3 linked regions of the Drosophila melanogaster genome follow. The protein of the gene in region 2 interacts with the protein of the main gene of each other region in a biochemical or structural test. Each region holds a gene or a part of one and is shown on either strand. Other genes may lie near its edges.

Region 1 (3,760 bases), on a different chromosome or scaffold from region 2:
GGTCCAATCATTTGAGACATCTGTGTGAATCAGTTAGAAACAGTGGACAAATTAAAAGTGAATAGGTTGAAAGGAGACCAACTACTAAGTTCAAAGTTCTTAAAAAAATCTTAAAAGCATTAAATGAAATATAAGATTTCCGGGAAATTTGTGTGCGATTCGATTGAGTAATTTTCCGGAGGTTCCATCGTACGAAAGTTCACCATAGTTTGCGGCACTCAGAAAGCACCTAGATGATATTCCATTATTTATAAGCTGACTAACCCCCCATACAAACTGCCACCCTAGCAACAGAGATTCCGTGTAGCTCTTTCTCCCTTCGCCAGTCCACCCGTCCCACTCGCACTCGCACTATGTCTTTCTGTTTCTGTGCGAGAGCAGGCCAAAAATATCGCGTATACGTCATGTGTGCCGTGTGTGTGTCATGTGTGTGCGAATGTTTTGTTTGCCAGACAAAACAGCAGCACGTAAAGTGGCAGTAAAACCGCAGTTAGCCAACTGGCCAACATCGTTAAATTTTGGTCGTCTTCTTCTTGTTGTCGCGATCATCGAACGATCAAACAAACTCAAACGATCCGGCGATCGATTGTTTGATCAATTGATGGACGGAATGGGATTCGTGAGACAAGCTAAAGTTTGAACTAAGTGATGGAAGTTTTAGTTTAGCTTAATGATCGAAATAAAACACCATACAATCTTACTAACAGATTGTTGCTTAGCCATTTCAATGGTTGGTTATCATATCAGCGGCATGATAATGATGGATTTTCCGAGCGCAGTTAAACTCTTCATCACTGTCGCTAGATACTGCGAGTATCTGTCGACTTTCAAGCGATCGAGAGTACCTACACATACCTGGGCTGCGTCATCGAGTACGGTAATCTAGGTATTTACCCCCCGCCCCATTTCCTCTGTCACGCCCTCGATTTGAATCATGCTGCAAGTCGGCAACAATTGCCATTCGATTGGAATTGTAAATGGTTCGTTGTCGGTCGGTGTTGCTTTTTCTTTCTGTTGCCGGTTGCTATTGAAACGCTCTGGAAATTTCATCATTCGCCCGACCGCCCGATCGCCCGATCGCCCGATCGATCGATCGATCTATCTATCTATATATCTATGTATATATCTGTCTATCTATCCCAGCTATCCACCGATCTGCCCCCTTTGCCGTTCTGCAACTGGTCCGCATCGAATGTTCGATGTTCGATTGATTTTTCCCATTCTTTGTGATTACGTTTTTTCTTGTCTTGGTTTTTTTTTTTTTTTTTTTTTTAGGTCGCCCTTTTGGCGTCAGATTCGATCTAAACACAGTAATAATAAAAGAAATCATGCCCCATTCCTGGGTAATTGTCTCGTTTTTGGGGCGTGTGTCGCCTCGATCTCGACGATATTGGGTCGGAATCGGAATCGGAATGGAATTAGAATTGAAATTGGTCGATGACATTCCATTTCAATGCGATCATTAAAACCGAAAGTGACGGACTTATAATCCAGAGGGGCAAGAGCTTTCAGGTTGCAGGTACAGTGCGTTTCAGGATTGTATTGTTTGTTGAGACACTCTTATCATTACCTTCATCTGTTCTAGAGCTAGCATTTCGTTGCCAAGTCGCTGTGTGTTATTTAGTTATTGAAAGGGCAATAGAAGAATTCGGTTAAATAGTTATTGCTTCTCAAAACGGCCAGACTTAACATGCCGAAACGCAGTGTAGCAGTGCAATCACTATGAGTACTATTTAACGATTCACCCACGCCCATATGTGTGTGTCGATTAATGGCGATTTAAGCTGCAATTTCCACAACTAATAATCATGAGTGTAAAGTATAATTTCCGTTTCGGGCTTTCGGGCACTTTTCACGTTCCTCAATGGCAATTTAAGAGGTTCATTAAAAACCAATAACTACGACTGTAATTGCACCATTCCACAGACGCGCGCACATACATACGTTTCACAAGAAAAAAAAAATAGGGGCAACAATGAACAATGAAATAGAATATCGAGATATGGAAATATATGTTCTATATGTTCGTTTCGTTTATATGTATATGCGGACATATACATATGATTTATATGCAATACGTCGCCAAAAACGCGCGCGCAATTTTCGAAATGACTCCTGCGGGCTGGCAATCGTTATCGTTTGGATTGGTCATCGATTTCGGTGCGCGTTTCTCTAGCGTCGTTCGTTCGGTCGTCGCGATCTTTGACAAACTGAAGTTTTCAGCATATAATCATATAGACCTAGATCTAGACATAGCGGTTCGCTCTCTCACTCGATCTCCCTCTCTCTCTCTCTCTCTCTCTGGTGCCATCACTCTCCGCTCCCAATGTCGCCACCCACTCTCGCCGGCATCGCTCACCTTACCATCTCCCCCTTTCGCAAAATAGACATAGACAGCTCCAAGCGGACTCTCCTCTCCCTTCCTCTCCTTTCCTCTTCTTTCCTCTCCACGGCGGCGACAAATCGCTGTGTAGCCATGTGTATGTGTATGTGTAGCCACAGAAAGCCATTTCCAAGAGCATTACGTTAGGATCTAAGATATTACGACTTTCAGATACATTTGGTTCCGAGGGATATCTTTAGAACGCTTTTTTGGTAGCTTTATTAGAAACTAAAGGTGATTTATCATAATATCTCATCATATTCATTTTATTTGCAAACCCTTTTCAACTTTTCAGGATAAAAAAGTAATGAATAATGAATACTTTTGAGTTTTCTAATAATTAGGAACTTATTTTCACTTATAAGCTTTAAAAAACAGTTTAAAATAGTTTTATTACATAAGTAAAAAAAAATATATATTTTAAAGAAATCGCTTAATGCGTATATTTACAAAAGCTTCGTTCATGACCAATTACATTACTTCATTGTTTTTTTTTTCCCAGTGCAGCTTGGCATTTTAAAGGCTTTCGCTGTCTTCCCATGGAAGCCAAAAGCTTCTTGGCAGCCCAATCGTGCCCGGGATTGGCGGCTAGTGAGGCGTTTGGCCTCGCCCACTCGACTCGAGTACAGTGAAAACTAACCTAGGACAGCCCACAATGCCGTGGATGTGGCCAGGCGGAAGGAGCTGTATCCATTACGTTTCATGACGCTTGACGGCTAGAGATCAACACAAATATGCCGAATATTTTTGCGCCTTCGGTGCAGCGAACAAAACAACATTTGCTGACGTCACGACGGCGATGATCCATCAAAAAAAAAAAGTGCGGCGGGGCGAGGCAAACAACAACTAACTAACTGTTGGCCAAGTTATTTATTTTTGTTACTGCATTTTTGCCAACAAAGTGCTGTGGTGCTGGACGTCTAAAAATAGTCGTCACTAGCATAGCAAAGTTGTGTAGAACATTTTCACTGGCTCGATAATGTGTGTAACTATGAATACACACACTATCACAACGGTATCCAACCTTATGGACATGCCCAGTACCTCTACCATCTCTATACCCATAGTCGAGTGCTAACAATCTGGTTTCCCTTTCAATTCATATTCTGTCACGATCGAACGTCAAAGTCTCAGTCCCGACTTTTTGAATTTCTGTTTTTCTGAGTTTCTGAATTTCCAACTTACATATATATTTCGAAGCGATCGAGACTGCAACGTGATGGAAATTGGCGAGAAGCTCGAAAATGGCTGCGATTTCGATGGAAATTGGGCAATGCTCCGTTGGCACAAAAGTGCATTGAATAGAAATAAATATATTATAAATATTCATAATATATATAAAATGTGTCATAAGCTACTAATTGATTGTACTGAATA
Region 2 (3,760 bases):
GCATGGACTGCGAGTGGACCATCGCGGCGCCGGACAACAGCTACGTCCAGCTCATATTCCTCACCTTCGACATCGAGAGCAGCGAGAACTGCACCTTTGACTACGTGCAGGTGTTCTCTGACATAGACGATGTGTACGGACAGTATGGACCCATGTACGGACAGTACTGTGGCAATGTGGTGGGTACACCTATTTCGTTTATCCGGAGAACATTTAAGCTAAGCATTATTTACTGCAGCTGCCGCAGGACATCAACTCTATGACACATTCTCTGCTGGTTCGCTTTAAGACCGACGGTTCGGTGCCGATGAAGGGCTTCTCTGCCTCATATGTGGCCGTGCCCAATTCCGGGGAGTATGACCACTCCGACGAGGATGTGGAGAACTCGTACAGCTCCGAGATGGTTACCCCGTTTCCGGGCTCACTGAAGAGCATCTACATCGAGGACACGCAGGAGGAGACCGACGAGTACAGCGACTTCAGCGGCAATCAACTGGTCTTCAATGGGCAGTATCGTGGCCGATATAGTCTGCCCAAACGGTACTACTCCGGAAAGGCATAGGGCTATGGTGGAACCACTGACCGTGCGCCAAAATACATGACAATATATTAAAACGGAATTTATTTAACAGATTTAGGCATATCGTCGCGTACATAAAACAGACTTTCCCGATCTTCCACGCGCACTCTTCTGGCCAAATCCAGGATATAATCAAAGATCCAATACTAGTTTTAGGCACTCGAAACACACATTGTTAGGTTCCAGTCGGCTAAGATCTGCGGTGGCAATTACTTAGACCCCTATGTCATACATGTAATGTACTTTGACTAGACTTCTCTAGACTCTGTAGCTAAATGTGCAATTCCTCTTCCCCCCTTGCATTTGACTGCTTTTTTCTCTGACGCATTTTCATTTTTTTCGGATATCTATATTCTATATTGTGCCATATTTAATGGTAATGATGGAGTGCATTTCCTTAGGCATCTTAGCATAAGTCAATGGGTGGCCCATATCAAAATCAGAACGGAAGTTAGGATAGAAAAGAGATACACACATATCTTCGGAAGCACCGAAAGTGGAGGATCCTTACAGATGGATTGAATTTTTCACACAGGCATATGTACAACTCTCGGATATTTGACTCAACTTAATACGTAATTATATCTATACATATTAAAACTTGCATAGTAACTATGTTTTAAAACCAAAACAAAACGAGTTTGAAGAATGTTATTTACGGACTTTCGGGTTTATGGGCTCATGGATTTATGGCCCTAGGTTCCACCTTGCCACGCCAGGCAGAAGCGCCATGGCTCTTGAATAGCATTTGAAGGTGGAATTACCGCGAAACGATTCGTTCATGCGGCGGATTTACGATCATTAATGACCTGCCCTAAAAGGCACGAACCCGCTTAAGCAACACCTGATCCTGGGCAAATGCCCCTGAGCCCGGCCAGCGACCCAGGTAGATGGCCACATACGCGTACACGTATAGATGGACAATGTCAAGGTGTGAGCAGGAATACCCAAATCAAAATCCATTGAATGCAAACAACAGGCGGCAGACAATGGTCATCCCGAATCGCCAATGAGGAGGGGTAGCACTCAGGTCTGGTTATGGCTCTCGTCTCTCCTTCTATTGAGCCGTCCCTTCGAGCGGTCAGTCGAGATTCTGCAACGGCCTGCCCTGCCACGCCCCTCGTCCACCGATTCCCCTACGAGTTGGGATCTGTTACCTGCTGCTCACTCACTCGATCCGTGGAACCCTTGTCGGCGCACCAGTATAATTCGGCAATCGCAGTCCACGAGCACTCAGTTAGAACTTTGAACTGGTTGAAGCAACTTCAGGGAACGAGCCCCCAGAAATACCCACGCAATGAAAGGAATGCGCCTTATGCCCATGAAAATGAAAGCGAAATTAGTTGTTCTCTCTGTGGGAGCTCTCTGGATGATGATGTTTTTTCTGGTGGATTACGCCGAGGGCAGGCGACTGAGTCAGCTGCCCGAGAGTGAGTGCGATTTTGATTTCAAGGAGCAGCCAGAGGACTTCTTTGGCATTCTGGATTCTTCACTGGTGAGTGGTGGAGTCACGTGGCCCGACCTAAAATTACAATCTTCAGCATTACCCAACAACAGGTGCCGCCGAAGGAGCCAAAGGATGATATCTATCAACTCAAGACAACCAGACAACATTCGGGGTAAGTTCCACTGGGATTTATACCGCACACAATGGTGCGCAATTAGCCCACACACTTGCCTTGGCCACTGGAGTGCTTGCCTTTGGGCACGTAAGTAATACCTGAGCTCATAAGCCCTCCCTGCCCATCTCAACCACCCACACAGGAGACGCCGGAAGCAGTCGCATAAATCGCAGAACAAAGCCGCTCTGAGATTACCCCCACCATTTCTGTGGACCGATGACGCTGTTGATGTCCTGCAGCATAGTCACTCACCCACTTTAAATGGGCAACCAATCCAGAGAAGGCGAAGAGCTGTGACCGTGAGGAAGGAGCGAACTTGGGACTATGGGGTCATACCCTACGAGATCGATACCATCTTCAGTGGAGCCCACAAGGCGCTCTTCAAGCAGGCCATGCGCCACTGGGAGAACTTCACCTGCATCAAGTTTGTGGAGCGGGATCCCAATTTGCATGCAAACTATATATACTTTACAGTCAAGAATTGCGGGTAAGTCTAATATTCGTTCTATGGAGAATTTATAATTTATATCCCATCGAATAGTTGCTGTTCGTTTCTGGGTAAGAATGGGAATGGACGCCAGCCCATCTCCATTGGACGTAATTGCGAAAAGTTTGGCATTATTATCCATGAACTGGGTCACACAATCGGGTTTCACCATGAACACGCCCGTGGTGACAGAGATAAACACATCGTGATTAACAAGGGGAACATCATGAGGGGTCAGGAGTACAACTTTGATGTACTCTCGCCGGAGGAGGTGGACTTGCCTCTACTGCCCTACGATCTTAACTCCATTATGCACTATGCGAAGAACTCGTTCTCGAAGAGTCCCTACCTGGATACCATCACACCGATAGGGATTCCACCCGGAACCCATTTGGAGTTGGGTCAGCGGAAGCGTCTTAGTCGCGGCGACATTGTTCAAGCCAATTTGCTTTATAAGTGCGCCTCCTGTGGACGAACATATCAGCAGAATTCTGGACATATAGTGAGTCCACACTTTATATACTCCGGCAATGGAGTACTCAGCGAATTCGAGGGCAGTGGTGATGCTGGGGAAGATCCGTCCGCGGAATCTGAGTTCGATGCCTCGCTGACCAACTGCGAGTGGCGGATCACGGCCACCAATGGGGAAAAGGTCATCCTGCATCTGCAGCAGCTGCATCTGATGAGCTCCGACGATTGTACTCAGGATTACCTGGAGATTAGGGATGGTTACTGGCACAAATCGCCACTGGTGAGACGAATCTGCGGAAATGTCAGCGGAGAGGTCATCACCACCCAGACAAGTCGCATGCTTCTCAACTATGTCAACAGGAATGCAGCCAAAGGTTACCGTGGATTCAAGGCGAGATTCGAGGGTAAGTTTTAAACTTTTCAAAGAAAAACACAAACTAATTTTTCCATTCCAGTGGTATGTGGTGGGGACTTAAAGCTGACCAAAGATCAGTCCATAGACTCTCCCAACTATCCTATGGACTACATGCCGGACAAAGAGTGCGTGTGGCGGATCACGGCTCCGGATAACCACCAGGTGGCCCTGAAGTTCCAGAGCTT
Region 3 (3,760 bases), on a different chromosome or scaffold from region 2:
TTTTCTCCAACCGCAGCATGAGTTGGCCAGCATGATTTTTGATCAAACCGTTGATGAATGCTGAAAAGGACTTGTATTTATAAATATACTTGATATATTTTAAAATAAGAAAAAATAAAAATAATAATTATTATTTATTTTTGGAGACAGCGGCTGGTGATCTTGTCATCCAATCAACTTGGCTCTTGTTGGCCTTATTTTACAATTTTTTTAAAAATCAAATCGCGAAATACAAGCTGTTAGATAATCCCCTGCTGTATTCGATTAAGTCGGATTCCCAAGGTAATACCTTAAACAGCTGTGCAGAGAAAAAAGAAGAGCGCACCCCTTTAAACCCTATTAAAGCATTAGCACGGAAGTCAATGATTCCCCTTCGCGAGTCAATACAAAAAAAAAAAAAAAAAAAAATTGAATAGCTTACGCCACTGACGATCTCTAACTTCAAAAATATTAAAATTATTGGCAAAATTTGGACAATATAATATTTCGGTTTTAAATTGATAGACTTTTGACGATCATATCATATAGCTAACTGTTGAAAAAAATTATAGACTCGTTGTTTTCAAATAAAAAGAGTTCTTCTTCAGTATGCACATTTTTTTGAAAATATATAATTTAGGTTTTTAATCGATCAAAATCAGACGACCATACACTTATATACCTGCCATAGGGAAAAATGGCTCTATGGCTATAAAGCTTAGGAAAAAACACTGACAATTGTAAAACCATTTTTCGTCACAAATCGGCACGGTGAGGCTGCGATCGTCACTTGATTTGTGTGCTCGTGAATATTCTAAAACTCGGAATAACGGAATAATAACCTTCAAAAACTTGTTTCAGGCTACGAAAAAACTTACTTTGAATATAGTAGAAGTATAAAATCCTGCAGCACCGGATATAATGATTTTTAAAAATTAAAAATCATATCTGCATTGTTTGATCCGCCTTGGAAGCGCGATGCGCCAGCAGAAAATGACCACCCTAATGTGCACACAGTCGTAAAAGTTAGTTCAAGCTACATATGTACATGCACATATGCAAAGCCCGTTCATAAACGTTTCACATGAGTCCTCTTTATGACCACTATTGTATTCAATTAAAACCATTTATAAACATAATAAATTATTGTGCTCTTGAACTTCAGTTCATCGCTGAAAGTGCATTATTCCCCTTTTACAAGCAGAACAACGTAAATGAGATATATCATATGTATGTACATACGTAAATTATACATACATACAGAATAAATAGCATGCATATAAGCACATATGTACATTTTTAAAGCTGTGTATGTACAAAGTTATGTACATTTAGCGATAACAAACTTTTTAAACACCTACCAATTGTACATAAGTAGATATATACTTATCTATCGGTATTTATTTTATTTTTATACACTTGTACAACCAAAATCTATTTTGAAACTAGGCAATTGTGTGTTTTAATATATGTATAGTATATATTATTAAATGTTTTATATTGAAGTAACAGTGGGCCTACGGTTTCGAACATTATTCTTTTGCAATCCGCTTTTGTTAAATTTATTATTCATTGTCCAAAAACACATAGTTTGAAAAAATTGTGTATTCAATTGCGCACTAAATAATAATAATTTATTTCTCATAGAGAACCAATATTTGAAAACCCGCAGAGATTCTGTACTGCTGTGCGATTGAGCGACGAAGTAGAACTGAAAGCAGCTGATCAGATGCGATCGGATACATACGGCTCACCGGCAATTTCGTTTTAGTTGGCATAACAGGCCGCTTTTAAAAATGTATCTGCTGAAACGCATTGCAAGAGTAAACTTTAATTCATATTAACATTTTTATCGAGCAAAATAGCATTATATTAAAATGAAATATTTATTGAATATACTCCTACTTTTTTTTTTACAATTCTAGAAAACATTTTATTTATATTTCCACTGTCGCTAATAATCACTTTCTATTGTAAATCAATTTAATCCTTAAGCCGTTTTAACTCTTATAAGTTATGAGTGTAGACATTTTTACATTTCAAAGATTTCAAATAGACCCGAAGAAACTATATAAGATATATTTTTATTAGCAGGATTTGATTTGTCTCTATAATTTTGGTTCCCTAGTTGTTTTTTTTTATTACACAAAATTGAGTGCTATTATACAACAAAAATTACATGCGTATTAATTTGTACTACTGGAATGACTATATTGATACAAAGGAATTTTTAAAATTTAACCGAAGTTCCGCATTCTTGTCCTAACATTTCGTGTTTTAAATTAACGGCAAAAATGTCGTTACTCTGGAATTAATAAAAAGTACCCAACGCACTTACATAAGTATGCAAAAATAATTTTATGTGTATAAAAGAAACTTATATTAAATCAAGTACATATTCGTGCGGGTCCCCTTTGTTCCGCAGTCTTCTTATATAATTATTGCCCATTAATATGGTTGTGTAAGAAGGCAATCTGGGAACTCCATAAAAAGGGTAGGGACAATTACCGCGATGTCTAGTGTTTTCCAGATTAGCTGTCGATATATCGACGCCCGTACAGATGTTTAAGCCTTTCCACACATACATTTATGAGTTTCCTATCGATATGGAAGAAAACGATAGGTGTTCACACTGTACTAACTTATTTTTATTGCTTTGTATCAGCAATTCTGTTGTTTTACTTAAGAATAGCAATTCAAATGGAGAAGACTTCTTTTATGTATCAACAAAGTAACTGATAAGAGATTATTTATTGGATGGATTGTAAGCTACTTATTTTTTCCATTGTGGTTAACAATTTACGATTTTTTTTTGGTTATAATAAAGATTTAAATAAAATAATTTCAACAAGTGCGTCAATTTTCCTTCATCTACGCACATATAGATGGTAATCGTGCGATAAACCTAATATTACGAAAATGGCGATCACGCATTCAACCGATAAATACAGAACTAAAATACTTCCTGATCAAAAACAAGAATTTATAATTTTTTTTCTATTATTTCCACTACGTTGCAATTTTCTGACAGAAATCACTATACGCTCTGCAATGGTTTAACAATAGGAAACGCTTTAGTTGGCTTTCAAATATTTTTCACAACATTTTCAACGAGTAGATTAGTTGAACTATTAATAGCTCATTAATGGACCGATTCTTTAGGTCTGCTAAATTATCATTCTTATATCTGTGAATTTATTTATTTACTGCATCGAATTTTTGAAAATAACGTATTCTCTACGCAATCACTGGTATTGGGTTGCCATATCGATTTCTATATATGTTAAGAGTTGCCGTTTGTATTTTTACACGCCGAGAGTTGCCATCCTGATACGAGCAGATGCGTGCTGAAGTCCAATCGATACTACAAAATACCAAAATACACAGAAAATATAAACAATATTGCATAAACAATATTGTACGAACGTTCGTTTTAGTGTTTAATCACATACTGTTTTTCCCCCATCCGAAAATCGAAGAAAATGTGTGACAATCAATATCTAATAAAAGAATCAGGATACATGTGCGACCATTCGTAATATAAATATGTATGTATATTTTGTAAATATTATTCCCTACTAACTAAACCCATCTGTGTGAATTTTTCCCAAAAGCCCTCTTATTATTGCAGGTAGTACATATATTAGTCGAAATAATTATGATCCGAAAGTTTTTTAATAAGGCTTTTGACCGTAATTAATTTCGAATTGGTTTAACCAAAAAGTGACGACGGTCATTTAAAAGGTCAGAAATTTAATTTAAAATATTAGAAGAGAAACTC

Evidence for each region.
Region 1: of the proteins of tld (region 2) and sog, one has a biochemical effect on the other in vitro, tested with the Drosophila melanogaster proteins (5 studies listed by BioGRID).
Region 3: of the proteins of tld (region 2) and myo, one has a biochemical effect on the other in vitro, tested with the Drosophila melanogaster proteins (one study listed by BioGRID).

Annotation. Positions count from the first base shown.
Region 1 is NC_004354.4:15,631,239-15,634,998, forward strand, and holds the start of sog (short gastrulation), read right to left. Parts: upstream 2,197-3,760; 5' UTR 1,571-2,196; intron 1-1,570. UniProt on the Drosophila melanogaster protein: Putative negative growth factor. Antagonist of dpp, a protein involved in patterning the dorsal region and in the development of the neuroectoderm; dpp inhibition is enhanced by tsg.
Region 2 is NT_033777.3:24,747,919-24,751,678, forward strand, and holds the start of tld (tolloid), read left to right. Parts: upstream 1-1,812; 5' UTR 1,813-1,877; coding exon 1,878-2,075; intron 2,076-2,137; coding exon 2,138-2,199; intron 2,200-2,344; coding exon 2,345-2,689; intron 2,690-2,743; coding exon 2,744-3,564; intron 3,565-3,615; coding exon 3,616-3,760. Other genes in the region: tok (tolkin), read left to right, coding at 1-179, 239-562. UniProt on the Drosophila melanogaster protein: Metalloprotease which cleaves TGF-beta family ligands daw, Actbeta and myo in vitro. Cleavage of daw enhances its signaling activity. Cleaves dorsal-ventral patterning protein sog. Processes sog more efficiently than metalloprotease tld which also cleaves sog.
Region 3 is NC_004353.4:694,357-698,116, forward strand, and holds the start of myo (myoglianin), read right to left. Parts: upstream 1,700-3,760; 5' UTR 1,341-1,699; exon of another isoform or gene 982-1,340; 5' UTR 858-981; intron 61-857; 5' UTR 34-60; coding exon 1-33.